Linked DNA regions of Canis lupus familiaris. The protein of the gene in region 7 purifies or fractionates together with the protein of the main gene of each other region. This does not show direct contact. Links are inferred from orthologs where the notes say so. Each region holds a gene or a part of one and is shown on either strand. Other genes may lie near its edges. The genes, in order: AP2M1, LRRK1, RET, GAB2, INPPL1, KDR and SHC1.

Region 1 (4,500 bases), on a different chromosome or scaffold from region 7:
CATTTCCCCCATCAAGTGTGTTCCTCCTTAATTCCAACTCTGATGATCTTTAGCACAGTCTACATAGGCATACCAGCTAGGAACATTTATGGACTTAAATTCTTCCCCAACTCTTACTAGTCAGCATATCATATCCATTCCACTTCAACAGTCTTTCTTGAATATGGTCCTTCTTCTCCCCCCGCCTCTACCCTAATTCATAGGAGCACGGGATTTGGAGTCAGGTTGTTCTGGGCTTGAATCCCAGCTCTACTACTTTTTGGTTTCGTGATAAGAGAGTTACTTAATCTCTCTGAGCCTCAATTCCCTCATATGTAAAATGATGATAATAATACCTACCTCACAGGGTTGTTGTGAGGATTTAAATTAGACTTGTACGAAAAGTGCCTAGCACAGTGCCTGGCACAGAGTAGAATAGGTGCTCAATAAATGGTAGCTATTATTATTACTACTACTACTATTATTATTTATTCTAAATTGGTAGGGTATTATTGATTGAAGATAAAGCTTTTGGAAAGGTAGCAGTGAAGATCTGAGTGCCGGTTCAAGATTTAGAAATGCCTGTATTCAGTCACTTAATGGATTCACATGGTGACCACTGTTTGAGGAAGGCCAGATCTTCATCCTGCCACATTCTGGCTTCTAGCAGGAGGATGCTGGGACAGTAGGGTTTGTAACCAGGTTTGCCCTTTTTTGCCCTTCCTCCCATGATGGGCTCAGCACCAGTGAAGGCATAAGGGAAGCTCTCCGTACAGAAAGAGAAGAGCTAACATTTTCTTCGGGTCCTGTAAAAGTCAAGCAGGGCTTTCATATCTGAGGGTTTGCTCTGTCTTTTCTTCTCAGCTTGGGTGTGAAGATTAACTCTGTTCATTAGAGAAGGGATTTCAAGTTCCATGTCCAGCTAAACTTGCCAGCAGTTTTTTAAGCAACATATATGCCATCACTAGAAGGCACACAGGTCCTGGCCTCAAGGGGTCACATAGGTATGTGTAGTTGGGATAGAACAGACATTCTTGAAAAGCTTTGGCTAGTTTCTTACAAGTATTTGCCTCCTCCATCTTTGCCCTTTTACTTGGGTCTTGATCCCTGGGAAGAGGCTCACATCTGGAACAAATATTTGATGAAAAGTCTTGGGAAAATCAGAGCTGGTGTTAGAAAGCAGTAAATTTAGTGCAAACACTTCTGCCAAGTCGTGTGTGTGTGTGTGTAAAGTGAGCACAGCCAGTGTTCGGACTCCAGAGACGGAAAAGGCCTACAGCAATCTCAAGCTTAACAGATGGGCTTCAACAAATGGCATTAATCCTCCGAAGCTCTCCTAGACGCTGAACAGGATGGATTGCAGACTACAATTCCCAGAATGCTCGGTAGGGAAAATGAAGCGAGTGGAGCGGAGTATGATGGGATGTGGCCACGCCTATCCCTCCCCAAGGCACGCCTAACCCGCTGAAGGCAGTCGGTAGTTGTAGTCTTCCTAAACCTAGAAAGGCTAAAATTGTAAGCTAGAAGGCCGAAGGGCCTGACGGGATTTGTAGTCGGCTCGGTCGCCGGACGCGCACGCGCAACTGTGTTCGGGGCGGGGCCACGGCACTGCGGTGAAAGCCGAGGCAGCGGGCTGGCGAGCAGGGGGCGGGCGGACATCTTGGGATCTGGAGAGTGGCCGGGCGGGCCGAGCAGGCGGCCGCGGACGCCAGGTAAGCTCGGAATCCGGCGGAGAGTAAGGGAGAACGCGTACCCCGCTACCCAGCTTTGCCCTTCCCTGCACTGCGCTGCGCGAAAAGCTGCCCACAGCCGGGAGGGGCCTCAGCCTTCTGATCTGGAGCTGACGGCGGGGCGGGGGCGCCCGGGGCGCGGTTGCAGGGTGGGCAGGGAGCGGCGCCCTCCACCGGCAGTCCGGCGCCTTCCGTGACAGGGAGACCTCCTGGGGTCCCCCCGGAGCCAGGATGCCGCGCGGCGCCCCCTTCCTCGGGATCGTGACAGCCCCCCTGGTGCCTTGGCGCCGCCTCCTCCCAGCGCAAGGACAATTCCCCCATCTCCTCGACGGTGACACCCCCTCGGGCCGTCTCCCTGGGCTGTGACAGGCCTCCCACCAGCCGCACCCCCTCCCCCCAGTTGAGTGACACCCCTCGGCTCTTCTTCCTCAGACCTGTGACAGCCCCCGCAGCCCCGTGGAGCCATGTTCATCCCCGCGATGTCTTGCTCCCCTAGACGAAGAGCCCACCCCCCGTCATGCCTCCACACTTGAACCCTAAAGCAAGTTAACGCCGCCCCAGCTTTCCCCTATTCGCCACTTGTCAGTCTCCTCCCTGCTGTTTCAAAGTCTTGACCTTTGCCACACTGGAAACTCCTTCCTCCAGATGTCCCCGTCCCCCCCCCCGCCCCCCAGCCCCCAGCCCCAGCCCTCTTGCTGCTGCAGGTTCACCTGACTAGACCGCCTGGCTCCTTCTGCCCGTCCTTCCCCTTAGCTCAGTATTCCCCTCCTGCCCTGGGCCCCACCTCCGCTCCTTCGGTGCCCTGCGGCCCCTACCACTTGATATCTGTGAACTTGCTTCTTTGCCCGGGGCTCTACCTCCCATTTTTCATTTCCTTTCCCAGCCTTTTTTGGGACTCTGGGGTGGAATGTGTCCACCACCACCTTGAGAGACCTCTCACTGAGTTGGGGAGACCCTGATGGCCTCAGTAATAGGGCTTTATTTTCCAGTTTAGAAAAGTCTGCTAAACTCCCTCTGCCCTGTAAAATCAATACCAGAGCTAATTCAGGAAATCTAGAATTAAATTAACCCTTTTTCTCCTTGCAAATATTTTGACCCAAATAATTTGGATAATGCACACCTATTCTCTGCCCCTTCCTTATAGGTACTCAGGCCAGAAATGAGTTATGTCATGGTTCTGGAATCATAGAATGTCAGCTGGATTGATCTTTGTGTTTTATAAACCTGTACTCCCACCCCCTTATTTTTACTGCACTTGGGAACTGAGAGGGATCCTCCCTTTTTGAAAGGGAGGTGGTTAAAAATAACTAATAAGCAGCTTGGGTCATTGAAGTGTAGTCGGCCAAGGCTGGGCCCTTTCTCCTCTGCTCTTTTGCCTGCTTATCTGACTGCCTGGGATTGGTTGGAGCCACACTCCAGGGTCTGTGTCAGGGCCTAAGGCCTCCCTTGTCTCCTCCCCACACCCTGCACACCCTTTCCTGGAATGTTTAGACTTCTGTGAATTAGAGAGCCACAGGTTCAGGCCCTGCTGTCTTCTCCGAAGGGTTAGTGGAGCCTGAGAGACCGGGTGCTCCTAAAGCCGTGCCTGGGGGCCCCAGGCCTGAACCAAGTGGAATAATTCCTACCGCCATTCCTGCAGCCGCAGGCAGGCCTTCCCAGTGACTCACCGGCTAGAGTCTGAGTGAGAGTCTGCACAGGAAGGGGCCAAAAAGGATCTGTGCTGAGCTCAGCACTGAAAAGAGGGGGAGGGGGCTACACTCTGGGCTCAGCCCCAGGAAAGGGAGGGTCAAAATGGCCTTAGAATCCTGGGCCCAAGTCCCTCTCCATTTCTTTCTCCTTTCCAGTGTGAGATAAACAGGAACTGGAGCCTGGCTAAGGGGAGGGGCATGCCTGGGGAGGGCTTCAGGGTCACTTACTGGAGGGTTGAGTCAGGAAAAAAAGCCCAGCCAGTGACCTGCACAGCCCCACAGGGGATGTTGGCAGAGGTTCTGAGGCCTTCCCTTACCCTGCCTCCGCCTGTCCTAGGTCTGTTCTCAGAGCGATGGGCCTTGGAGACTGAGCTGCCGCCATGATTGGAGGCTTATTCATCTATAATCACAAGGGGGAGGTGCTCATCTCCCGGGTCTACCGAGATGACATCGGGTGAGTCCCCTGGCTGAGCCAGCTGTGTCCCCACCCCTCATCCCTCCTCCCCAGCATGCAGGACCAGGTCCGTTCCTACCAGAGACTGGACTTTGGCCACCCCCATCCCTCGCTGCATCTTAGAAGCTCAGCTAATACAATCTGGTTCCCATTAGGTCTGGTGGTATTGGCCTGGCAGCCAGTTATTGGCCAATAGGTGGGACCTGTGGAATGGTGTGGCCCCCCACAGTCTTAGGAACTCTTGTCCTTCCTGCCTTCTCCTTTCCTTAGTGACAGACCTAGTTGCTAGAAATGAGTGCTTTTGCCCTGGTAGATGAATTCCTCCCTTGAGGAGGAGGGAGATCTTTCTCCAGGGGGTGAAGTTAGTGGACAGGCTAGTGGTACTAGTCCATCTAAGTCTTGCTCTCAAAAGCCCTTCTCACGGTGAGAGCCTTCACTGAATTCTCTTGAAAGCTTCTCCAGGCTGCCAAATCCTCTCCTACTCCCTTTCTCAGGAGGAGGCAGGCTGCTGACTCAGCTGTTTTCAGTTCCTCTGGGCCACTCCTAGAAGAGAGGTTGTGAGCAAGCTTGGGGCACTCTCCGGGTCACTGAAGGAAGGGCAGGGAGGCCATGCTGCCCTTCCTGGCCTACCAGAGTAGACCCGGAATAG
Region 2 (4,552 bases), on a different chromosome or scaffold from region 7:
CTGCCCCAGAGGCCTTGTCCATTATGAGCCCTCACCTTTCTGAACCAAGGAGTGAGAGGTTTAAGGAAACCATCCTTAGGAAAACCTGTGTTTGGAGTCTGGGAGCCTGAAAAACCCAAGGAGGAATGATCAACCTGGACAACATTTAGGAGACCATCGAAAGCTTTCTAAATTGTAAAATATGATCAGGAAAATCAACTTGAGACAAGAAGTCAGAGGAACAGCAAAACAATTTGTTTTAAAATAAAGGCTCTAAATCCTGCAGTAACACTCAGACACCAAGGAGCACAGTGGCCATCTGCTTTCAAACGTCTTAAAATCAGCTACCACATCTACCCAGTACCACCTCAAAAAATCCAAATGCTAGTAGACTTGCCTTCTGAAAACAGAAGTGTCTTACCATAGAGTGCTTTTAAGTTTTTTTTTTTTTTTTAAATCTTTAAAATATTTTAGGCCAACCCTCGGCCAGCACATTTTGTTCCCCTTTTCATTTTCAGTTTCCTTTTGAAAATCTCTTTACCGATGGAGGATTTTACCACTGGCACAGTTTTTCAACTGTAATTTGTATGTTGGCTTAGACTCTAAGGTAGAAGGTTTAAAATGAGGTAACTCAACTTTTGCTCAATCTTTGCCCTCAAACGGATCTTTGCTTCTTCCTGCTTCTTTTGGGCTCAGACCAATGCAACAAATCATGGTTGTAAGTTACATGTCTTCCTTTCATTGTGGTGCATACAGCCTTAAGAGGACTTCAAGAGGTTTTCTGTAATAATTTTAATACTTTTTAAAACCTCACCAATTTTTCATTGCTCCTTATACGTGCAGTAATGAATAAAACTGAATGCTTAATCAAAAAGAGAAAAGGGGAAGCTGACATTCATCCCGCAAATGTTTTTATTGGGCCCTTTCTATGAGGAGTGAACTCCATGTGTTCATGAAACTTAAAGCTGGTGGGAAGGCACAGTTAAGTAAGTGCTTGCCACAAAATTTCTGACTGAGGAGAAATAGAGGAGACCCTGGACCTGCTTACTTGTCTTTTCAGGAGGCTTGGAAAGGATTGTCAGTACCAAAGAGCTAGAAGACACTTGCAAATGAGCACGTCAGCTCAGATAATCCAGTAATTCTTTTTAGTGAAAGCATGGTAGAGATGGTTGGCCCATAGTCCTTGACAATCCTTTGGCACTACTAGCCTCCTCTGACCACATACCGGCTTGCCTACAGAATGTGTGTAATGGATTCATGGACTTCAAAATATCAAGGGGCTGCGGACCAGAGAAATGTGTAGATCTCAGTCCTAGATGAACACCCAAAGGTCTGGGAACAGAAGCCCTTCATGAGTCTGAAACCACAAACAAGTTAAGACTGTCCATTCGCCATTCAATCTGTATGCCAGGGTGTACTGGGCACCTCTCAGACAGTTCTGGGCGTGAAGACGCAGCAGTGAGCCATGCTGGTGCCTAGGAATGGTCTCTGACCCCTGGAGCTCCAGGAGAGTGCCAGGCAATTAAAGAAGAGAGCAAATAGATGAAGAGGGACCATAATACCAGTGGAGACTGCAAAAGACAGCAAGGGTGGGGGGGGGGCGGATGTGAGAAAGAGGCTGGGCTTACAGGGGGTGGCTGGCAGTATGAGGAGTCAGGGGTCAGCATGTAGAGGCCATATGCTGAAGAGCCAGCTGGACCATGGTGGCTGGTGGGGTGGGGTGGGGTAGAGGGTGGCATGAGCAATGGCCAGGTGGTTGATGATGCCAGACTCCATATCAACTGAGGGGAAGGAGGTGTCCTGGGTTTCATGCCAATCACAAGGAGAAATTATGGCAGGGTTCTAAGCAGAGGATTGACACATTCTGATTTACCTATTAAAAAAAAACACACGCACAGACTCTCTGGCTGTCACATAAAGAATTGGAGAGGGGAGGATTGTAATCACGCAGGAAACAAATGCTGGTACCTTGGACTAAGGTGGAGACAATGAGAAAGAAAGGTTGGACTCAGCCAGACACATAGGTAAGCCCAACAGAACTTGCTGATGGTTCACAGAATTCAAGGGATGAGGGTATGGGATAGAGGAAAGGCGAACAAGTGAGCTGACTATGGGCTCATTCCCTGACCCCAAAACCTCCTTTAGGGACAAATCAGATGTGAGATTTTTGTTTTTAATTTTTTTTTTTTAATTCTTCAGGGACGGAAGCAAAGATAATTAGAGTCAAATCACAAAAAGCATTTCATGTTAATGTCGTCCCAAATGGCACCTCTTCTAGTTGTCCCTTTAATGTCTGGGTACTTTGTTACCAAGTTGAGGGGCCGGCACCCTCTAGAAAGAGTGTATTCACTGAGAGCCTTGCTGAAGCCTTCGCCACAGGCTGCTGTTTTCTCTGCCTCTCCGACCCCTGCTGATGTGTTCCGGGAGAAAGCTTCCAGGCCTCCAAACGGGCAGGGGCAGGTTGAGCGGGCCAGAGGTCCCCACGCTCTCCCTCGCCACCTCCCCCGGCCCCCCACCTAACCGGGCTCCCCTCTTGGCCCCTTCGCGGACCTGTCGCGTGTCTGCGGAGGAGGGTGGCGGAGACGGCGGATTCCCCCGCAGCGGCGGGAGCGCAGGAGCCCGGCCAGCCCCAGCCCCAGCCCCAGCCCCAGCCCCAGCCCCAGCCCCAGCCCGGCGGGAGGTGCGGGCGCTGCTCCCCGGCACACACGCACGCACACTCGCCCGCACGCTGCGCGCTCGCGCTCACACCCGGCTCACACCCGGCTCACACCCGGCCCGCGCCGGCCCGAAGCAAGGAGCCTTCTCCAGGGGCGGAGGAGACCGTGGTCGCCCGGCCGCGGCTCGGCCTCACTGGTGCTTCTCGCGCCTTCTCCCGGCCGCGGCCCGCGCGGGGTTTCGGGGTGGCCCTCCGGGGCCCGCCGCCTCCCCCACTCCGCGGGGCCGGGGCCGGGGCCGGGGCCGGGGCCTGGGGTCCCCCGCGCCCTCGGTGCCCCCCTCCCCGGGCCACCTGGGCGGAGCACGCGGCCGTCCGGGCGCCGAGGGGGCTGCGGGGGTCCCGGGCGGGGCGGGGCGCGGCGCGGCGCGGGCGGACGGGCGCTTACCTGCGGCGGCGGCGGCGGCGGGGGCGGGCCGGGGCGGCGGGGCGTGGGCCGGGGCCGGGGCCGGGGCCGGGGCGCCGGGGACGCGGGGCTGGGCGCGCGGACCGAGGCCTGGCCGTCCCCTGCCCTCCGCCCCCTGCGCCTCCGGCCGCGCGCGCGGGGGCCGGGCCGGGCCCAGACGCACTTCCTCAATCCTGCGGCCCGCGGGCTGGCGGGGAGCGAGCGCGGGCGAGGGGGGGCTGGCGCGGCGCTGCCGGCGAGCTGCACGCGGGCGCCTCAGTTTCCCCAGCCGGAACGCGGAGGTGCCCCGACGCCGCGCCCCGGAGGCCCGTGAGCCCTCGCAGCGCGCGGACCCCGCCGGGTCTGGGGGCCCTGCCTTCTCCTGTCGGGGCGGGCGCAGCCGCAAGATTGGTCGGTTCTCTGCTCAACGCAGCGTCGTCCACCGTCCCCGGGCTCCGGAGCAAAACCCAAGGGCTAACCTCGGACTTGTATGGGTTAGGCAGGGCCTCGCAGTGACTGTACTCTGACCTACACCTCTGTGCAGGGCAGGATAGAAATAGGTATTTTCTAGCTTTAGAGTTTGGCAAACGGTGCCCCTTCCGTCACAAGAATTTAATTGGGGCTGAATATAGAAAGATGTCACTGTTGGGTGAATCATTTTAAATTCTGCGGGGAGTAGATAAAACATGCTGGAATGTTGGCCATTTATTATGTCTCGACCCGATATGTATGTTCATCACCCGACGGAGACCATTATCCGACGGCATCACAGAGACGCAGGGACGTGCAGCAGGCATCAGACCTGGCTCCGCGTGCCAACCACAGGAAGACAAGCCGGCCCAGTAAGAAGCAGATGGTTCCACAGCCCGGCAGGACCCGCAGCCTAGGCTAGACCTCTCCTGCGCTGCGACTGGAAGGCTCCTGGGACTTTAGCGCAAGTCAGAGACTCGCCACCACCCTCACTGCCATTTCACAAACGCCAGGCAGACGCAGGGCCCCCGCACGACCTCAAGGACACTCTGAGCAGTGGCCCCTTGGCAAGGGCACCACGGGGCAGCTTCGCTTTGCTCCCAAGAGGCTGCGCCTTTAGCTCGCCGGCCACGGAACGCCCTTTGCAAAAGGGTGGGTGCGGTTTTGCAATCCTGTCCTCAATATTTTGGTCCTAATTCCAGTATTCAAAAAGCAGCAATGTGATTGCTACCGAAAAGTCCCTAATAATTTGCAGGGCGTGGCGTCGCGGTGCTGAGTGAGCCGGGCATTCGCGGTGCGGCGCCTCCGGGGCGCGCGGCCCGCCATCTAGTGGCAGCACGAGGAACAGCACGCGGGGAGGGGCGGCGGGAGGACCCTGGAGCTCATGTGGCCAACGCGGCCTGGGCAACTCAGCTTCTCTTTTTATTTTATTTTATTTTATTTTATTTTATTTTATTTTATTTTATTTATTTTATTTTTTTATTTTATTTTTATTATTTTATTTT
Region 3 (3,800 bases), on a different chromosome or scaffold from region 7:
GGCTTGAAGGTCCACACTGACCACCCTCACAGCCAAGCATGGAGGGTTACGTCAGCTCCACTGCATGGGAGAACAAGCATCCCTCGGTCCCTCACGTCAGAGCCACATATTATATATGAATTACACCTGGGAAATGCTTATCATATGTTTCTCTCTGTTGTTTATGGTTACAAAACACATGCTCAACAAAATTTAATTATGTAATCTTCATGAGGAAGGGCAGCCTGCTAAACCTGATGTGTGGCTGACAACCTTGCACAAAGACATTTAGCCCAGCTGCAGGGCAAATGGAAGGAGGCTGGGGGAGTGGCTGGCTCCTTTCCTTACCTTACTGAGATCTGCTTTAACATCATTGCCGTGTGTATGCAATTAAACCTGGTGTGAATCCACGTCCCCCTAACTAGCAGTGTGCCTTCTGTGTCCCACCTTCTTGCTTTGGATATTTCGATGGTGCCTCCTGTCATGGATCTGTTCAGGTGGCTTCTCTCAACTCCCTGGGGATCTACCGCCTGCTCTCACCTTGGCCAGCCTCCCCAGGGCCATCTTGTGGCCAAGTTGGCTACCCTTGCAGCTGCTCAGGTGGAATCCTGGAACCACACTGACTCCCCTCTTTCCCTTAACACCCACATCCAACTCATCAAGGAATCATGCTGGATCTTCCTTCAAAACATGCCCAGAAGCCACCTGCTTCTCGCTGCTCTGTGGCTTCCACCCTTCTTCCAGTCTTCATTCTGTTGCTTAGGGATTTCTCAGGTAGTAACCCTGCTTCCACCCTCCCCTGCCCATATCGAATCATTCCTAGCATAGCAGCTGGAATAATCCTTTAGGGGTAAGTCAGGTCTTGTCAGTGCCACCCCCTATAAGCCTTCCATGACTCCCCAGTCCCTCAAGGGGAAATCCTCAGGAACTTCTGTATCTTCATGTGCCTCTACTCTCCCCAGTCCAGCCACACAGTGGCCCCACCACAGCGATCAAAGGGGCTAGCACAGCTTCCCTGGTACCCTCCCACCTTGGCTCCAGTGCTCCCTTTCCCAGCCAGGGCACAGAGGACCACAGTCTCCACCACTCCACATTCCTGGAAGTTTACTTCCCAACTAGCATGTTCCAGAGATCACCTCCATTGCCTTGGCATGAGCATGGCCTCCACTTCCCAGGGGTAATGGAGGCTCTAGGGAGGCAAGATTGTGACTTATTTTGTTCACGGTCACATCTTTAGCCCTTAGAACGGTACTTGGTTCATGACAGGCACACAAGAAATATTTCTGGGATATTAAATGAAAGGGTGGTGTGGTGGTGCAGAGTACACCAGATGGCTGTCAAGAGCTGGTGGTGCCATACCTGGCATACAGCAGCACCAAGGGTCACTCTGCGAGGTCAGCACTCACCTTCTAGGAGCTTGTAGGACACGCTGATGTTGGGGCAGAGGAACTGCATGGGCAGCAGACGGAATTGGTGGAAGGTGCCGGGAGGCCTGTTCTCTCGAATGCGGAAGGAGACACCAGTCTCAGGGAAGCAGAGCTCCCGGGGTTTGAGGGAACCACAAGCTGGGAAGGAGGTGTTAATGAAGGAGAAGTACACACGGGCACAGCCTGGCCACTGGCACTCGCCCTCACGCAGGGATGCAGATGACAGGAAGACCTGGACGTAGATGGTGAGCACAGGGAAGCCGCCATCTGTAGACAGAGAAGTCAGGCCTGGTGGGGCATCACCATACCAGCAGGGGAGGGGGCAGGAGCTCCAGGGCTGGTGGAAAGTCCAGTCCTCACCCTTGTCCACAGGGCTCCACTGGGCTCTCTACGCTGCCTGGCCACCTCCTGCCTGCCCTGAGCTGCCCTAGACCAGGATGCCTGTCTCTGCTCATGGTCCCATGGTTCTGCTCCCTCTGCCTAGGGTGCCTCACAGGCCTGCCTCTCTTGTCATTCAGGTTCAGCTCAAATACCACTCCCTCAGGTGCTCTGAGCACTGGGGTCTACTATTCCTCCTATTTCTCCCCACCAGCCTCTACTGCATCATTGCCCCCTCAGAGGGGTGCCCTGAGTCCTGGGTCTAATAGCAGGTGGAGAGCTTTGCCAGGCTGGTTTCTACTTTGCATGGTGCACATGTACTGCATGGGTGGGGGGGTCTTCACCCTCCCCAACCCTCCCCAAGGGCTTTCCTCATCGGCGCCACTGCAGAGACACACCCATAGACAGAGGACAGACTTTCCCAGCACCTGGAGGGGGGAATTTCCAGCAAACTCCATCATGGAGGCTCTTTCTCCAACAAGGTCTGGATCTCTGCTAGAGTGATAAGGACTCTTCCTGGGTCCTCTCTCTCAGCCCCAGGGTAGCGGCCACTCCCCTATGTTTGCACCTCACCCTTCACTCTTACACAGCAGGGATCACACAGGAGCCACCTTCCCGAGCCTCAGTGTGGGTGTGATGTGGGCTGTGAGAGAAGAAGACAGGGTGGGGTCAGGCAGCTCCCTTACTGCGGATGCTGAGCTTCTCCCAGGTGCTGTGATCCAGGCTCCGGTTAAGGTAGAGAAGGCCTGTGTCCTCCTCGATGCGGATCCAGTCGTTCTCATGCAGCCTTGCACGGTAGGCGATGCCGTAAAGGTGCTGGCCTAGGCGGAAGCTAGGCACCTCCTCGGGGATGTCCCGCAGGGCATGGACATAGAGCAGGGGCATGCCAGATGGCTGGTCCACATACAGCTTCTCCCAATAAGCATCCCTGGAGAAGTAGAGTCCCAGTGGAGCTGCAGAAAGCAGGGAAGCATGTGAGGGAGGGAGTGGTGATGACAATATCCAGAGCAGACCTCCCAGGCAGACCAGCACTCTCTAGCAGCTTTAGTTCACACTTTGATAAAAGGTTCTCTATGGACCAAAAGTTTTACTAACTAAAATTCCAATCTAGCATAAGTAATAGTTTATAAGCAAAACTGTGTGTAAGTTAGGAGTCTCCTCATTCTGAAATTATAAGAAAGAGATCTCAGCCTCCAGAATTTATAGAATTAAAGACTTTCATACATAAATACAGAAATAAATAAAATTCTGATCTTCATAGGACTTTCTTACCTATAATCCTAACATCAACACACAACTATCTGTGTAGCTAAACACAAGCTGCAAGTGGATTGCTGTAAAATAGATAAAGAGAGGAGGAGGCAGTATAAAACCACTATAAAATCATTCTCAATTACCCAAGTTTGATAAAAGCTGGGAGTTTACCCTGGTTTCTCACCAAATCACCTGAACCCAAGGTTTTCAAGTGTACACGAGGATGCCAGACAAGCAGGGCAGGCAACAGTCACCTAAAATGAACCAGGACACCTTATTCATTCATTCATTTATAAGGTTTATTTATTTTAGAGAGATAGCGTGCACATGCAAGTGTATGCATATTGGGGGAGGGGCAGAGAGAGAATCTTCAAGCAGTTTTCCCCACTGTGCTTGGAGCCTGTAGTCGGGCTTGATCTCATCACCTATGAGATCATAACCTGAGCCAAAACCAAGAGCCAGACACTTGATCAACTGGGCCACCTAGGTGTCCCTGGACCCGGGCGCTTTATAAGAGAAACAAATCTTTATCTAAAGTTAAACACTCCTACCGTTTGACCCAGAAATCCCACTGAATTTATCCAAGAGAAATGAAAACATATGTCCATTAAATGACCTATTCACAAATGGCAGGGTTATTCACACAGTCAAGAACTGGCAACAGCCCAGATGCCCTTCAGCAGGTCAGTGGATATGCAAAGTGTAGTTTTCACACCACGGAATCCTATGCAGCAATAAAAAAAGGTGAACTACTGATACACA
Region 4 (3,800 bases), on a different chromosome or scaffold from region 7:
CTCTGCCTCACTCTCTGTGTCTCTCATGAATAAATAAATAAATCTTAAAAAAAAAAAACACTGTATGTTAACCATACTGGAATTAAAAGACTTAAAAATAGTTTGCTTTCTGATTACTTTCCTCCCAATTATACCTATTTTCTAAAAAGCTGAGATATTCTTTGGACCTCTCTCTCACATTTATGTTCCTTTGATTCCTTTTTTATTCTCCCCCTCCTTGTCTGTTTCTTTTTGCATGCAATGAGCTTTTATTCCTTCATCAGGAATAAAATGAAGGGAAAACCAAAGTCCATGAAGCCTATAAATGACAAAGATTTGGGGAAAACAGGAAATTCTATACAGGAAACAAAGATTATACCAAAGATTTTAAGGGTAAAATGGGGACTAATAATCCTTCTGCAAGGAAGATGAAAATCAGAGAATTCCTGGAGAGAACACCAATCCAGGCACAATAGACTACATAATTTCAAGGGCCTAGCGCAAACTGAAAATGTATCCCCTTATTAAAAAATTAAGAACTTTGACATAAATAATATTGAAAGATATCTCATGTTTGTGGATTGGAAAAATTACCATTGTTAAAATGTCCAACTACCCAAAACCATTTACAGATTCAGTGAAATCTCAATAAAGATTTCAATGGCATTTTTTACAATAGTAGAAAAAATAATCCTAAAATTCTTATGGAACCACAAGATTCCAAGTAGCCAAAGCAATCCTGAGAAAGAATACCAAAGTTGGAGGCATTACACTTCCTGATTTCAAACTATATCACAAAGCTATTGTAATCAAAACAATATGGTATGACAGAAAAACTGACACACAGCTCAATGGAACACAACAGAGAGCCTCACATGTATGACAACTAATATTTGACAAGGTTGCTAAGCATATTCAATGGAGAAAATATAATAGTGTCTTCAAAATATGGTGCTAGGAAAACTGGGTATTCATATGCAAAAAAAGAAAAGAAACTGGACTCCTATCTTATATCAATCACAAAAACTAACTCAAAATGGGTTAAAGATTTATTTTATTTTATTTTTAAAGATTGTATTTATTTATTTATGAGAGACACAGAGAGAGCCTGAGACATAGGCCGAGGTGGAAGCAGGCTTTCTGCAGGGAGCCTGATATGGGACTCCATACTGGGACCCCAGGATCACACCCTGAGCCAAAGGCTCAACCACTGAGCCACTCAGGCATCCCTGGGTTAAAGATTTAAATGTAAGACCTGAAACCATAAAACTCCTAAAAGAAAACAAAAAATATTCCTTGACAATGGTCTTGGCAATGAGTTTTTTTGGATATGACATCAAAAGCACAAACAAGACAAAAACAAATAAATGGAACTACGTTAACCTAAAAAGCTTCTGTGCAGCAAAAGTAACAACAAGATGAAAAGCAACCAAAGAAATGGAAGGAAATATGTATTTTCAAGCCACATATCTGATAAGGGGTTAATATCCAAAATACACAAGGAATTTCCACGACTCAAGAACGAAAACGAAAACAAGAACAAATAACCCAGTTAAAAAATGTCCATAGGATCTGAATAGACATCTTTCCAGGGAAGACATTCATATGGACAAGTTACCTGAAAAGGTGCACATCATCATTAATCACCAGGGAAGTGTAAATCAAATCAAAACTGCAATGAGCGATCACCTCGCACCTGTTAACTGTCCATTATCAAAAAGATATGGAGTGCTAGCAGGGATGCAGAGAAAGGAAAACCCTTGTACACTACTGGTGGGAATATACACTGGTATAGGTAGTATGGAAAACAGTATAGTGGTTCCTCAAAAAATTAAAAATAGAACTACCATATGATCCAGCAAGTCTACTTCTGGGTATATAATCTGCAGGAACTGAAATCATTATCTTGAAGAGATATCCACACCCTCATGTTCATTGAAACATTACTTACAATAGCCAAGACATGCAAACAACCTGTGTCCACTAACGGATGAATGGATAAAGAAAATTTTATACATGTAATATTATTCAGCAATAAAAAATAAGCAAGGGTGCCTTGGACCTTCGCTACTCAGAATGAAGTTGTGAAAAGACACTCACGCCTAGGTCCACCCATGAGATTCCTAGAGAGCTGACTTGGCATGGATCTTTGGCATCAACATTTAAAAAATGCTTCTCTTTAGTTCTGTCATGCAACCAGGTTTAAGAACTACTGATTTAGGCTCTGCACCTGCCTCAGAAGAAACCTGTTTCTCAATCATGCCCTAGTTGGAGATGAGCCCAAACAAATATCAGAGAGCATTTCTGCAACTTAAAGGTTAGTTTAAAAAGTTGGCTACTCAGAGTGCGTGGGTGGCTCAGTTGGTTGAGTATCCAACTCTTGGTTTTGGCTCACATTGTGAGCTTGGGGTCATGGGATTGAGCCCCATGATGAGCCCTGAGTGGAACCCCATGTCCAGTCCTGCATGTGGCAGGGGATCTGCTTGGGGCTCTCTCTACTCTTCCTCTGCCCCTACCCCTGCTTATGCTCACACACGTGCTCTCTCTCTCTCTCAAATAAATAAATAAATAAAAAGTTGGGCTACTGTGTTGTGAAAGTTAACAAAACCGAAACATAAATCTGTATTTCCCCCTTCCACCTGTCTCCTTCCAAGTGAATACAGAAGAACACTAGGTTAGATATCAACAACAATCACAGAGGACCTCAAACCAAAGGAAAAAAAAAGTGGCAAGTAACTGGGCAGGATGGTCTGATGGTTTGAAATCCACCAGACAGAGGTGGACCAGGAAGGAATCGAGGTGTGAGCCGCCCGTGGGTTGAGAGATAGGTGAGAGCACAGAGTGCTAGAAAGCTGAGGAGAGGGGTGGAAGGTGCAGGGCTGACAAAGTGGGGGGTGTTAAGGTACCCGAAGAAATATCACCAAGTACCTTTAGCTTCATTATAACTTCAACGCATCTCAGACTCCCATTTAAATGTAATTAGGGCCAGGGATCCCTCTGGACCTAGAGTGGCCAAAGAGGAGAGCCTTTAGCTACAGTCTGCTATCCTTGCTCAAAGATCTGAAGGCCTTCATCTTAGCCCCAAGTGCTTAGCCCCCTCCAGGAAGCACCCTGCCCTTTGAGAGAAAGGTTCATGTTTGTTCTCCTACCTGTGCTCTCCTCAGCCTGATTGAAGCCACAGATCTGGCAGATGCTCTGGACCCACTTATTCATGTCCTCCTCTGTCTCAGCCACCAGATAAAAGGTGCGCTCACTGGTCTTGATGTCAAATACAAAACTATCCTGCAGCTCCTTCTTGTTGAAGGTTAGGCCTGCATCCACCTGCTCACAGAAGTTCAGGTTGATGATCCTCAAGGGCTTCTTGGAGTGATCATTCTTGTAGTATTCCAGAACATCCGGGTCACCACTCATCCGGCCACTCCGCAGGATAAACCAGCGTTTCTTCCAGGCCTGGATGAGGAGGAGGAAGAAAAGAGGGAAAAAGTCATTAGTTTTTCAAAGCTTCTCACAGGTGCTCAGAAATCACCAGGTTAAGGATGGAGACTGCTGTACCTGCAGGCCTAACATGGCCCCTCTCTTTCATACTTCCCCGGAGTTTAAAAAATGGAGGATGATTTTAGAATGCATGTTAGTGCAATATTTCACATTTCCTTCTCTTTAGTTCTGTCATGCAACCAGGTTTAAGAACTACTGATTTAGGCTCTGCACCTGCCTCAGAAGAAACCTGTTTCTCAATCATGCCCTAGTTGGGGATGAGCCCAAACAAATATCAGAGAGCATTTCTGCAACTTAAAGGTCAGTTTAAAAAGTTGGCTACTCAG
Region 5 (3,800 bases), on a different chromosome or scaffold from region 7:
TCTATGAGATGGAGATAACCACCCTGGCCCTGCCTTCCTGGTGGTGCTGGAAGACATTTAGAATATGAACATGCTTTACAGAGTTCAAAGGGCTCTATATAGGAGAAAACTGAGACCACCTGAAAGGGGGAGACTATGAGCTGGAGAGGAAGCAGGAGGTGTGGACAGAGGGATCCTGGCCACCCGCTCACCCAGGGTGTTGGCGATGCCAGTCTTCACGCTGGACGTACTGACATGGCTGATTCGGTTCTCATGCTCTGGCTTGACCAGCACGGCTACCTTGATGTTCCACAGCGACTGCATGGCAATCTGGGAAGAAGGCTCGCGGTTATCCCTGCCTGGGGCTGGGGCACTGCCGCATTCCATGCCCCCCACCCCACCCCTGTCTATACTGGAGAGGGCACCGTCAGTCACAGGATAGGAAGGGCTGCCACCCTTTCTCCTGAAGGGCCAGAGAGAAACAGAGCACATTCCTACAGCATGAAGCACTCATTAGATTTCCTAAAGGATACCCCGGGGGCCAGAGGGAAAGGCAGGCAAGTTGTGCTCCCCGGGTGGCCTGTGGGGTCAAGCAGGATCGTTTGGGTTGGGGTCTGAGGAGGGGAGACTGGACAGGATGACCCTCTCTCACCGGGCGGTAATCCAGATCTGTGAGCTCCTTGAGGCCCCCGCGTAGCAGGTCCAGCCACTCGCGGTCACCCACCGAGTTTTCCTGGGTCCCGAAGACATAGATGTCATGGGGTATGGTCACCGTGACCTCATCCAGGGTCTTCCCTAGACCCTTTGATGTGAACCAAGATGTCACGTTTTTTGGAGGTGGCACGCTTCCTGGAGGTGAAGGGGATGGGGTGATGGTCAGGCCCCTGACCCTGACCCCTGACCTCTCTCCCACCCCAGCCCTACCCGGGCCTGACCCATGTTCCAACTGCCTATGAAGACAGAGATCATGTCCGGCTCATCTTGCTTGGAGTGCTTGTTCTTCATGAGCTGCAGTAGCTGGCAGAAGGCCTCCCGCTTCTGGGGGGACAACAGCCAGTTAGGGGAGGTCCCTGGTAGGTGGCAGGTCCCATGAGGGGAGGGACACGCCTGTCTGGTCCACCACTGTACACCCACTACTCAAGCAGAGGACACCTCTCAGGAAATGTTCACCAAATGAACATCTATCTGCCTCTACCCTCGGGCCACCCATCTCCATACATACACTGTCTGCCCTGTCAGGAGGGACGGGTCACCTGCATCACACATTTCCTCTCCTTCCAGCCCCCAGGAACCCCTGCAGGGGGCCAGCCCAACACGCTGCTCACCCGGGCGCTGACAAAGATGAAGTCCTTGCGCTGTGTCCGATCCTTCTCCTTCTCAAACACGACGCCTAGCTTGTTCTGGACACGCTGGGACTTAATGAGCTGGCGGACTAGGGGATGGAGGCCGGTCACACTGGCCCGTGCACTGAGGCCCGGAGGCTGCCCTGCCCGCCCCCCGCCCCCCCCCCGCCCAAGGTCGGGCCCTGGCTCACTGCGGTCATGTGTGAAGGTCGTCCAGTCCTCCTGTGAGTCCCGCTGCCTCCGCAGCAGCACCAGCCGCCCGCCCTCCACATCCACGCTGAGCGTGAACTTCTGTGACTTCCCGATCTTGGTCAGGTCACCCAGGGTCACATCTAACTTCACCTGCAGGTCACGAGGTGGGGGGCTGCTGAAAAGACCCCGGGCAAATACCACCCCCTCCACCCTCCACCGCCCTTTGCCCCAGGGGTCCCCCCAACACTTCCTTGCGTACCTCAAAGGCCTGCACAGGCACAGTCTTGGCCTTACGTATAGCCGGCTGCGGCGGGGCTGGCGGGGCCGTAGAGCTCATGTCCTGCAGGACCTTCAGTGCCTGGGGCGAGTAAGGGCAGGCAAGGTCAGGGGATGTGCAGAGAGCTGGGACTGGGAGGGAGACGGCTGACAGTGGGGTCGATGCTGAGGTGTAGACTGGGGGTGGAGATCACTTAGGTCATTGCAAATAGTTGGGGTCTGGTGGGTCAGGTCAGAGGTCAGGAGCCAGGCTACCTTCTTCTGGATGCCCGACAAGAAGTCCTTTAACACCGACAGCTTCAACACCAGGCTCTCCAGCTCCTGCTCCCCGGTCTGTGCTGGATTCTGCACAGAGGAAGGGTAAGACTGGTCCCTGAGGCCGCTGAACAGGAGGGTCCCCCCGGCCCCAGACATCAACCCACTCCCCACAGGCCCCCCCCATAATCCCACCTGCTGCTGCAAGAGGCGAGTGACCATGGGAGAGCTCTGCTGGTCGAACACCTTGGACAGGATCTCCAGACCCGCCAGGACCTTGTCCACCTCGCTAGGGGAGACGACCGGTCAGAACTCCCCGCCCCGACCCAAGGACAGGGAAGGATGGCTGAGTGTGTAGCTTCAGCCTCCACCATAAGGATCCAAGGGTTCACGGGTGAGGAAAATTCAGGAAACGACAGCTGAGTCCCCGTTCCGGGCCAGAGAGCAGAGGTCAGGACATCTGTGCAGGGGGCAGGGGGCAGGTGAGCACGGGTCAGAGGAGAGGCTGCATGCGCGGTGTTGCGCGTGCCAGGTACCTGTGCAGCCTCCGGCACGAGGTGGCAAGGGTGCGGGTGAGGTGGGGCAGGTTGCTGGCTCCGCCTCGCACGGCCTCCAGGTCCAGTCCGTAGCTGCCCTTCAGATACTCGTGCGAGACAGTGCTCAGCCCATTGGGAGCACTTCAGGGAGGGGTGGAGAAGTCGGTGAAGAACCTGCTGACCCTGTCCCGGCCCTCCCACCCTGTCCCTAGAGGTGGTACTGGCAGTGATCAGAGCACCATGGATCAGGGTGTCTGCCCCTGGGGCTGAGGTGGGATGAGGGCCCCTGGGGGTGGAGTGGGGGCTTAGAAGCCCCCGCCCCCAAGCGGACAAGGTTCTCAGAGGAGAAAGGGGAATTCCTGTTCCCTGTGGAGGCTTCTGGTCTTACCTCTCAGCAGCTGGAGTTGTGGGAGTCTCAGGGGCTGCTGGGGGGCTGCCAGGCCCCACGGGGGCAGAAATACTGGTAGAGCCAGAACGTGGGGGCAGCGGAGGCTTCTCATCCTCCCCATCTGTGAACAGGAGTCAGTGAAGTATGGGGGATGCTGTGTCTTCAGATGCTTCCATGGAAGTGGGGTAAAGGGCCCCAGCATCATGGGTAGGAGCAAGGGGGCTTTAGGGGAGGGGGACTGAGAAAATGGGAGGGGAAGAAGCAGGCAGCGCCTGGGGAAGGGGCAGGGAAGGCATCTGCACGTGGCAGAGCGTGCAGCACCACCTGAGACATCACGGTCGTCGGGTGGGTCTGGCTCTCGCTCCCGCTCCACAGGCAGCAGCAGGGCACACACGAGGCCCTGGTTGGGCTGGGCGTACAGGCCAATGAGCTCGCCCAGGGTCTGGAAACGGCGCACGGGCACGCCCTGTGAGGTCTGCCAATCAGCAGGAGTGGGAGAAGTGTCAGCCAGCTGACCCCAAGTTACAGGGTGGAATCAGGGTCAGGGGCCAGACTCCTACCTGCACAGCCAGGAAGTCTTCTCCATCAGGTAGGATTCGGTATGTGTGCACGTGCTTCTGATACCTAGTGACAAAGCGAGGATCAGAACCTGTCGCCCCTGGCTAGGGCTAAGCCCCAAGGCATGCCTTCCTCCTGCTACCAGGCTCAGGACCCAGCTCCCTCAGCTTGGTTTTCCTAAAACCCTTTGCTCAGGCTGCTCACGGGTTAATGATGAGGCCAGTCCACTTCTATCCTGCTAGTGTTGCCAACAAGAGCAGGAATGACCAGCCT
Region 6 (4,260 bases), on a different chromosome or scaffold from region 7:
CAAACAAAACAAAAAGACAAATAAAAAATAGACTCTTAAAAATAGAAAACTAGCTGATGGATACCAGAGGGGAGGTAAGTTGGGAGATGGGTGATACAGGTGATGGGGATTAAAGAGTATGTTTATCATGATGAGCACTGAGTAATGTACAGAACTGTTGAATCACTATATTGTGGACCTGAAACTAATATAACACTGTATGTTAATTATACTAGAATTTTAAAAATAATTTTAAAAAATGTTTAAAGAACCACTGACTTCTGAGGCCTAAGCTACCCTGATCTTGTTGGGTAAATAAGACAGTATTTGCAAATATGAAAAAGTAAGAGTAGAGAGAGTGAGCAAATATCCAGTGCAAATACCTAATACACTGAATCTGTGGATCCCAAAGTGAATGGCCACAGACAAAACAAACAGCTGATCACATATATTTCTACACACTCACCCAGATGTACAAAGTAGGTTGTTGACACAACTGCAGATTTGTTGATCAATATCATAGTTTAAAAAAAAACACTAGAAATTAAGTTGCATCAGTAAATCTCAGAAACTCATTGGTATTGGTACTGACTTGTGTTTGGGCCAATAATTCTTAAGCTTTAGGACGTGTAAGACATCCCTAGCCCTCCAAATCTGCATTTTAACAAGCACTTAACATGATTTGATCACACATGGTCTATGGGATACTCTTGGACAGCTGTTGATCTGGCTTATCATGTTCAGTTAATTAGCGTAGCACTTTTCAATATGGAAGGAAAAAACTGTCCTCAAAGTAGACAAACAATAAAGCAAAGTGTTTAAAGCAATAGAAAAGCCTTCCAACAATGAAGTCTCACTTTGTTTAAGAAAAGGAAAATAAAAACAACTGATTCGGATGAGTTCAAGTATCAAACTTGGCTGGGAAACACTAGGTTGAGAAACATGTTGAAAGCAGTAACTTAATACAATTTGTACAATGATCCAAATGAGAAAGAACGGATTATTTGGGCACATTTATGTGAGAAAAAAAATGTAGCAAAAGTACGGCTCTAAATAAGCTATGTTTGTCCTACCAGCAAAATAAGAGGTTCTTGAAGATCTCTCATAAATTATTGTCACGGATTATCTCACCCTCTGGACACACTTTCTTATGTTAAAAAAATTAATTAAAGATATGTTCCCCCTTCATAGGAAGCTAAGACAATACCATACTATCCTAGAGACATGTATACAACAAAAATCTTTTCAGCAAGCCTCTATCAATAAGGATAACTCCAAATTCGTATCTGTAGACCAACCAACATTCGATTTTGTTTTCCTCCACTAAGCTTCATTCATTTCCATGGGCAAGTTTAAGTCCTACTCTTCAGAAAATTCTAAAGAAATAACTACAAGAAGTACATATGCTGCTACTCTATAAAAAGCCCTTCTATGTTCAAATCCTCTAACCCAAATTAATTAATTTGTGCGCTATTACCCTTCCAGCTCAAAGACAGGAAGGAAAAACAACAGTGCCTCTGTCTCTAGAATTTGATGGCACCAATTATAGCCCAATCCAATTAAGCAAGTCACACACTCCAAAAGGGCAACCTCATCGTTATATTCAGGGCAACCCGATTGCAGTTACTACTGCTGCGCTATGAAACACCCCAGGCTTAGAAGCAACTCACTTCTTTGTGGGATACTGAACAACCACATGTTCCAGACCATAAAGGGGGAGAGCGAGGTCTTGTCAGGGACAAATGAGTGTCCATGGTGGAGCTGGCCCCGATGAACCAAGTCATTATTAAGAAAATTTAATAACTATAGATAGATGATCTTGTTACTGTATACGAATGCCTTTTCTTTTCTTTTCTTTTCTTTTTTTTTTTTTAAGACATGCGATTCTTTTATTCCAGTGTAAGGAATTTTTCCCCGAATTATCTGACTTTTTTTTTCCTCCCTCCACCCTCTCCCCTTTCTCACCCTCCGAAGAGTGGAAATCTGGAAATCGGCAAACTCTGGCCACAGAAAAGAGATACGAGAAGGGCGCGTGGGGGAGCGGGGAGGGGAGGGTGTTGAGTAGAGCGAAGAGGGAAAGACAGACATTCATGGCATCAAGAGCATGTGTGTTCCTAATCCTGAAGGAGACTGACATTTTAGGTGGCAAGGAAAGAACCGAGGGGCGCTAACTCTAGCTACCGAGTCCCGCAGAGTTAAGTTTTCAGAACTTGAACTTCTGACCGTGCGCTTATCCCAAGGACCCGAGCTTTGAAAGATGCCGTTGTTTTACATAAGAAGGTGACTGTTACTTGGAGACATTTGGGGAAGCTGTCACAACCCCCCCCCCCCCCCCCCCCCGGGCTGAGAGCCCTTTCACCTTCTCCCTGCAAGGAGAGCAGCATCCAGCATCAAGGGGAAAAGAAAAAAAAAAAGTTTCCCTCCCGAGCCGCACCCCCTACACGGTGGGTGGGTTTGTGGGCTGCAGCCCGGAGGGAAAGGCACCCCGGGGTCCCCCTGGACTCCGCGAGCGGAGCGCGCGGCGCGGTGGGAGCTACTGGCCCGCGCTCCCTGCGCGGCGTCCCTCCCGCCGGGCACCTCCTGCTGCCAGCCGCGGGCGCCCGCCCTCCCGAGAGCTCCGCAGGCCCGGGTCGGAGGCCACCTTCTGCAAGGAACCGGGGCTCTGGAGACCACCAACTCTTTGGAAACCCTTGGGCCAATCCAAGAGCGTCAGCCTCCAGGTTGGCAAATGAAAAAAAAGAAAAAAAAAACGACCGAGTTGTCAAGTGGCTTCGCTTCGCTCCGGCTCTCCGGTTCCGGGGCAGGCGGGCCTGCAGGACCTCTCGGCATCCCCGGTCTCTCGCCCGCGCCCGACCTCTCCGCCGTCCTTCTGGGGCGTGGGCTCCTTACCCCCGGAGGCAGCCCCGGTCTCCACGCAGAGCCACAGAGCGATGGCCAGCAGCGCCTTGCTCTCCATCCCGACCTCGCGCGCGGCGCGGCGCAGCGCCCCGGACTCCGGCGCGGCTCTTCCTCCCCGGGCCCGCCCCGAGAAGAAGGCGCGGAGGCGGGACGGGCGCCGCAGCGCAGGACCGTGCGGCGCGGGGGGCAGGGCGGGGGCGCCCGGGCTCCGGCCACGGCGCGCAGGGGCGTCTGCGGGGGCGGCGGGCAGAGGAAATGCGCGCGGCGCGGCGGCGCTGGGCTTCCCGTAGCGCGCAAGTGATGCCCCGCGCGGGCCGAGGGGACGGCACGGTGCACCGGCCGCGCTCCCGGGGTCCCGGGGCTCAGTGCGCGGTGGGAGCCGGGGCCGAGACTCTAGAGCCTGGGGGCGGGGCCTGGAGGGGCGGGGCCTGGGTGGGCGGGGCCCTACCGGGGCGTGGCCCAGAGGGGCGTGGCTCCCCGCGGCCGGCGGCCCCGCCCCCCAGCCCCGCCCCCGGGGCCCGCTACGTCTCGCCTGGGCCGGCGCCTGGCCCCGGGTCTCCCGAGCGCAGCAACCCCCCTTCGGGTAGCGATGCGGCGTGGCCGGGGCAGGGCTTCTGCGACCCTCCAGGCTTCAGGAGGTTGGGGCCCTCGGAGATGGGGGCGGGGGGCTCTGAGCCTTGCGGGGGGCTCCGGGATGTGCGACCGTCCCCGGCGCCCGCGGCGTCCCTCCAGGGGCTGGGGACGGACAGACGGGGGCCAGCAGCAGGTTGCACGGAGCCCGGGCGCAGGCAGGATCGCAAACCCGCAGCGAGTGCAGCCAGGTCGAGTGTTTTGCTTGGCCAGCAAAATTGTAGCTTAAAAATCTGAATCTGAATGCCTTCAGTCAGGATCTGCACCCGCTCAGTTCTCCAGAGTTCTCCCTGTTTCCTCTCATACCTGGCAGCTTCAGATGTTTGTAGGTTTGCAGCCTAGCCGCCCCCCCCCCCCAAAGGCGATTAAACTGGTACCCCTTACCTGCTTTTTACCAAAAACCGACATCAGGGCTCCAGGGAGCTGCAGGTACCCAGGGCTCTAGCGTCCCCGCAGCGTGAGAGTCGCCCCTCCCCGAGGAGGCTGTCGCCTTGAGACTAGGACTTCTGTCCACCGTGTTAGCTGACAACGAGCCCCTACGTGAGTCCTCCTGGGCTTGTGACCAGGCCCCTCTGCAGAACAGAGCTCCCAGCCAAGATAGCCTTAGGCCCCGTGAGAAGGAGGCCGGCTTCCCTGGAGAAGCAATGAAGCGAGGGCTCCCAGACCTGGGCACCCAGAACAACCCGTCCCAAACCTCACAACTACCCCTGCGCTTGTAGACTCCTTAGGATGGAGCTGTTTGGAGAACTCAGA
Region 7 (4,387 bases):
TTATCCCTGAAGGTAAGCCATCACTAGCAAGTGACCAAGACCCACTCCCTCCTATACTCACTGATCCAGGAGCCCACTCCCCTATGTACCCCCTCTCCCCTCATTAATTCAGGAATCCCCAGTCTGCCCCCTCCCCACTAACCTGGTGACTTGGGTGCGGGTGTTGAAGTCCAAGGCACGCATTGACTGCAGGACCTCCACACAGCCCATGTACTGAAAGGAGGAAAGGAAGGTAACGAGTCAGCACCCCCTCCACAAAAAGAGTCCCAGGCCTTTCCCCTGAGTGCTTCCTACACTTGATCTTAGCCAAAAGGCTGACTCTGAAGAGTGAAGACCAAGTTTTGCCCACAGCCTGCGGCTACACCCACAATGTGCCAGACCACAGGAAATGAGGGGCGGAGGATCGAGCAAGCCAGGAGGGCCTGGACATCTGGGAAGAGGATCTCGAGGACAGTGATGGGCACTGGGGTGGGGGGTGGGGAAGGTGACATCCCCAGAGGGAGGAGGCTGGAGGATACAATCAGGACCGCTCATTCCCACACTTACTAAGGGTGGCAACGTGCTGGGCTTTGTGCTAAGCATGGCAGGGTGGGGGAGTCACCAGAAGTAAGGGGCCCAGGCAGAGCTGGATGGGAGGGGCCGCAGAATAAGAAAGGGGAAGAGAGAGGTGTGAGAAGCGATCCTGAAACCAAGGGAGGTACCGGCAAGAGCAGAAAACGAGAGGCTCCCAGCTCGGCAAAGCTGGAGTGAGCAGAGGAAGGAGTCTGGGAGGGAGCAGGGAGGACCGAATGGGAGACATTCACTCACCCGAACCAAGTAGGAAACCCCAGGTCCCATGACTTTGTCGTTGGGATGTAGCCAGCCCCGTGTGGGCTTATTGACGAAGCTCCCGTGGCGGGTCCACTCCTCGCCCCCCAGCTGGCCCCCTTCCACCCGCGTCCTGCGCCCGCCTCCTCCACTCAGCTTGTTCATGTCCTGGAGGAGGGGCAGGGGGGCTGAGTCCAGCACGGCGGCCCCTCCAGTCCCCTCCCCATCCTTAGAGGCCCTTCCTGGCTCCCCAGCTGGGTTAGCCAGCTTCAGGTTGCTCATCCGGGGGAAGAAGGAGCACAGGGTAGTGGGACTCTCATCCCCAGGCAGAGGTGGCAGGATGGGCCCCAGGGAGGAGGCCGATGGGGAAGGTAGTTCCTCCGGTGGGGTGGACCCTGAAGCCCCTTCCTCCAGCGATGACAGAGACTCATTCCGAAGTGGATTGTACTTGGGCTTGGGGGGCAGGAGATCCATGGCTGCAGTGAGAGGGAGGCTGCTGCCCAGCCTGGCCCCCCTGCCAGTCAGGGCAAGGGGGCCAGGCAAGGGGCATCCCCAGGCCTTTAGTCTGCTCGGATTCTATGGCCCAGGGATCTCAAGGATCCTGGGGAGGGAGAGTGACAAGTGGCACCAGCGGCCCCAGGCTCAGACCCAGATAGTTTCAGGCCCCATCCCCCGCCCAGCGTGGAGCCTCTTCCCAGGCGGAGAAGAGAACAGGCTGGACCAGAAGCAGCCTGGCTCCTCCCCAGGGGCGGGGAGGGAAGGCCAGAGACCAATCCCGAGGACAGTGCTGACTCACAGGCTCCAAGGGGCTAAGCCCCCACAGCAGCCCCAGCCTAGAACTCTGGCAGGGATAAAGCTCTCGGTGCCCCCACCCTGCCCCGAGACAAACCACCAGTAATCTGGGGAGGAGTAAAGTGGAGTGGGAAGGAAGGATGTGGGAAAGAGAAGGAAAGGAGGGAAATAAGAAGAGGTCTGGATCCATCCACACAGGACATGGGCAGGCCACAGGGAGCAGGAAGCTGCGGGAGGGTAGGGGGACCGGGACAGGAAACAGAGGGAGCTGGGAGTGGAAAGGAGGGGACCCCTGAGCTCAGCACTTCTGTTCCTGTCCTGCTGGAATGCCCCCCCTCCTCCAGCCCTATCACACCGTGGGGTGGTGGCTCTGGGGAGCCTGGGCCATTAGCGCCCTCTGCTACCACAGCTGGGAACAGGTGGTGAAGGGAAGAGGAAAGCATCCAAGTGGTCCCAGTGGACGCAGGGAAGGCCCAAGAGGAAGCACGAAGCTGGAGAAGTAACGGGAACAAAGTCCAACCTGGGTGGTGCACCAGGGAACCTTCAGGCAGGAACTGGAGCCTGGGACGGGCTGATGGAGTCCTGCCCTCCATGGCTGGCACCTACCATGCCAGGGGCAGCAGCCCACAGCCAAGCACTCTTCTGTACCCCATCCCACAGGTCTAGTTAGCAAAGCAGGCTGTCACGGGCAATTCGGTGACAGGGTACTGACACAGGGGTCGGCTTCCTGGGTCACATAGGTGACAGGGCACTGACACAAGGGTTGGCTTCCTGGTCCTGCCAGGCATGTTCATACTCCTTCTCTTAAGTGGAGAAGGTTAGGTGTGCCCAGGGAGCACAGTGCACCCAACACCAGGGGTAGAGTCTCACTGGAGGAGGTGGGAGAGTACAACAGTTCTCCAAGAGAAGTGGGGAGAGGAAAGGACAGGCCATGAAAGCACAGAGGGAGAGGAAGACAAATCTGAGCCGGGGTGCCAGGGACGGGCTGGGGCCCATCCCTTCTGCACAGCTTCCAGCTCCACTAGAGGGGACCTTGAAGGAAGAGGCAAAGTCACCAAAAAAGCACTAGAGATAAATACAACCTCTATGCTCACCTTGGAATTACCTATTCTTAAACTGCAGAAGATACAAAGATGCAAACTAGTAGCTAATAATACTAACACTCAAATCGTGTTAGATACTGTGCTCAACTCTCTCCCCTGGCCTTTAGCTCTCTGGCCTAAAGGGATGGAGGAAAGGCTTCTACCCTGGCCTCTGCAGCCCCTGCACACAGGCCAGGACGTCCTCCCCTGCCGGCGTCTGCACAATCCAGAAGCGAGGACCCGCCCACAGGTGTGGGCCTTAGGAAGGAAAGAAGGAGGAAGTCGGGCTCTTTAAATTTGCATAGGAAAGGAGATGGCCTACAGGGAGTCAGTGTGGCTGGGTGTGTGGGGAGGAGCTGCTCCAGGCTTCTCAGCCCAGCGGGGAGGAGGAGGCAAGTAGCAGGAAATGGCGAAAGCCTCAGGAATGTTTCCAGAAGGGAAGGCTGGGCAAGCGGGACCAGGAGGAATGCCCAGACAAGAGCTCTGCTTGGGGGGGAGGGGAAGAGCCCAAGAAGCGGCGGGGGCTGGGGAGTCCCTTCCAAAAAACTAAACAAACAAAAAAACTCAAACAGCAAAAAGGCCACTGTCCCCTCCACCCACGCCAGGCCACCGTTTCCAGGCAGCAGGACACTCTAGCTCCTGGTGCACCCGCAGGTTGCACGCCAACCTCACGGCCCTACCAGCTCCCGAGGTGCGGGTGCTAGCCCTACAGCTGTCTCTGGGGCGGAGTCTGTCCTGGGCTGGGAACCCAGGAGCAAGTCTCTCGGCCCCTTTGGCGCCAAACCCCAAGTCCAGGCCCCTCTCCGCGGGGCAGGGGGAGGGGCAAGGGAGGCGGAGGGCGGCCCCTGACCTCGCCCGGCTCGCCCCACCTGCTGGAGCAGAAGCACTGGCTCCGCAGAGCTGAGCCCCAAGCCCAAGGAGAAGAGAAGCTGTGTCAGCAAGGGGCTTCGGGACTACCACAGCGCTCCGAGGGGCGGAGCCCGCCCCACTCTGGACGCTGCCCAGGGGGAATGGGCCCCACATCACGGGTACCGGGCACTGTAAGAGGCGAGGCTACAGCACCGCCCGACGCCATCAGGCGGGGGGCGGGGCCTCTCGGAAGGCGTAGCCTCTGGGGCGGGGCTGCCGGCACTCGGCCGGGCCTCGGAGGGGCGGGGCTCTGGCCTCCTGGGGGACCCGTCGCCAGAAGGCGAAGAATCGGAACTCAGAGAACTACCGTCAGGTTTCTCACAGTCGGACTTGGAAGCATGTTCGGGGGTGGGACTTCCAGGAAAGCTGGGCAGCAGGGTGGGGTCGTGGACAATACACAGAAAACAAGTCGGGGTTCGGGGAGCCCCCTGAAGATGGGGGTGGGACTTCCGGGGAGGGGGGTCTCAGGGGGCGGGACTTGCACATGAAGACCGGAAGTAGGGTCCCGGGAGAGGGGTTCCGGGGTGGAGGAATGGGTCACCTTAGGAGAGGGAGAAGACCTAACTCACCAGGGCCTCATGGAGTCTCCGCACCGCACCGCGGCTCGATTTGGTTCCGGATCACGCCACTGCCTCCTTAGGTCGCCGTTCCAACTTTCTCCCCGGCCTGGCCTCCCTGAAGAAACTTTATTGCACTCACTTCCGGCCTCACTAACCCCTGACCCTCTACCTCAGCGTCCCTCCTTCAGCCGTCCCACTTTGCCGAATCAGCCAATGGCAATGCGAGAACGCGCACGG

What was found.
Region 1: the proteins of SHC1 (region 7) and AP2M1 purify together in Homo sapiens (affinity purification with mass spectrometry; 3 studies listed by BioGRID and IntAct, with this or other methods). This does not show direct contact. The link is inferred for Canis lupus familiaris from reciprocal best matches to the Homo sapiens genes SHC1 and AP2M1.
Region 2: the proteins of SHC1 (region 7) and LRRK1 purify together in Homo sapiens (affinity purification with mass spectrometry; 3 studies listed by BioGRID and IntAct, with this or other methods). This does not show direct contact. The link is inferred for Canis lupus familiaris from reciprocal best matches to the Homo sapiens genes SHC1 and LRRK1.
Region 3: the proteins of SHC1 (region 7) and RET purify together in Homo sapiens (affinity purification with western blotting; 4 studies listed by BioGRID and IntAct, with this or other methods). This does not show direct contact. The link is inferred for Canis lupus familiaris from reciprocal best matches to the Homo sapiens genes SHC1 and RET.
Region 4: the proteins of SHC1 (region 7) and GAB2 purify together in Homo sapiens (affinity purification with western blotting; 6 studies listed by BioGRID and IntAct, with this or other methods). This does not show direct contact. The link is inferred for Canis lupus familiaris from reciprocal best matches to the Homo sapiens genes SHC1 and GAB2.
Region 5: the proteins of SHC1 (region 7) and INPPL1 purify together in Homo sapiens (affinity purification with western blotting; 4 studies listed by BioGRID and IntAct, with this or other methods). This does not show direct contact. The link is inferred for Canis lupus familiaris from reciprocal best matches to the Homo sapiens genes SHC1 and INPPL1.
Region 6: the proteins of SHC1 (region 7) and KDR purify together in Homo sapiens (affinity purification with western blotting; 3 studies listed by BioGRID and IntAct, with this or other methods). This does not show direct contact. The link is inferred for Canis lupus familiaris from reciprocal best matches to the Homo sapiens genes SHC1 and KDR.

The regions. Positions count from the first base shown.
Region 1 is NC_049255.1:17,241,263-17,245,762, forward strand, and holds the start of AP2M1 (AP-2 complex subunit mu), read left to right. Parts: upstream 1-1,572; 5' UTR 1,573-1,691; intron 1,692-3,734; 5' UTR 3,735-3,777; coding exon 3,778-3,851; intron 3,852-4,500.
Region 2 is NC_049224.1:40,487,672-40,492,223, forward strand, and holds the start of LRRK1 (leucine-rich repeat serine/threonine-protein kinase 1), read right to left. Parts: upstream 3,098-4,552; 5' UTR 3,081-3,097; intron 51-3,080; exon of another isoform or gene 1-50.
Region 3 is NC_049249.1:4,124,697-4,128,496, forward strand, and holds part of RET (proto-oncogene tyrosine-protein kinase receptor Ret), read right to left. Parts: intron 2,738-3,800; coding exon 2,471-2,737; intron 1,674-2,470; coding exon 1,386-1,673; intron 375-1,385; exon of another isoform or gene 1-374. UniProt on the Homo sapiens protein: Receptor tyrosine-protein kinase involved in numerous cellular mechanisms including cell proliferation, neuronal navigation, cell migration, and cell differentiation in response to glia cell line-derived growth family factors (GDNF, NRTN, ARTN, PSPN and GDF15).
Region 4 is NC_049242.1:20,669,783-20,673,582, reverse strand, and holds part of GAB2 (GRB2-associated-binding protein 2), read right to left. Parts: intron 3,430-3,800; coding exon 3,129-3,429; intron 1-3,128. UniProt on the Homo sapiens protein: Adapter protein which acts downstream of several membrane receptors including cytokine, antigen, hormone, cell matrix and growth factor receptors to regulate multiple signaling pathways.
Region 5 is NC_049242.1:26,025,461-26,029,260, forward strand, and holds part of INPPL1 (phosphatidylinositol 3,4,5-trisphosphate 5-phosphatase 2), read right to left. Parts: intron 3,594-3,800; coding exon 3,530-3,593; intron 3,445-3,529; coding exon 3,294-3,444; intron 3,091-3,293; coding exon 2,970-3,090; intron 2,723-2,969; coding exon 2,582-2,722; intron 2,335-2,581; coding exon 2,241-2,334; intron 2,136-2,240; coding exon 2,046-2,135; intron 1,873-2,045; coding exon 1,774-1,872; intron 1,665-1,773; coding exon 1,514-1,664; intron 1,412-1,513; coding exon 1,305-1,411; intron 1,018-1,304; coding exon 915-1,017; intron 829-914; coding exon 632-828; intron 310-631; coding exon 192-309; intron 1-191. UniProt on the Homo sapiens protein: Phosphatidylinositol (PtdIns) phosphatase that specifically hydrolyzes the 5-phosphate of phosphatidylinositol-3,4,5-trisphosphate (PtdIns(3,4,5)P3) to produce PtdIns(3,4)P2, thereby negatively regulating the PI3K (phosphoinositide 3-kinase) pathways.
Region 6 is NC_049234.1:48,245,088-48,249,347, forward strand, and holds the start of KDR (vascular endothelial growth factor receptor 2 precursor), read right to left. Parts: upstream 2,936-4,260; coding exon 2,869-2,935; intron 1-2,868. UniProt on the Homo sapiens protein: Tyrosine-protein kinase that acts as a cell-surface receptor for VEGFA, VEGFC and VEGFD. Plays an essential role in the regulation of angiogenesis, vascular development, vascular permeability, and embryonic hematopoiesis.
Region 7 is NC_049228.1:42,487,107-42,491,493, reverse strand, and holds the start of SHC1 (SHC-transforming protein 1), read right to left. Parts: upstream 2,940-4,387; 5' UTR 1,282-2,939; coding exon 808-1,281; intron 214-807; coding exon 143-213; intron 1-142. UniProt on the Homo sapiens protein: Signaling adapter that couples activated growth factor receptors to signaling pathways. Participates in a signaling cascade initiated by activated KIT and KITLG/SCF.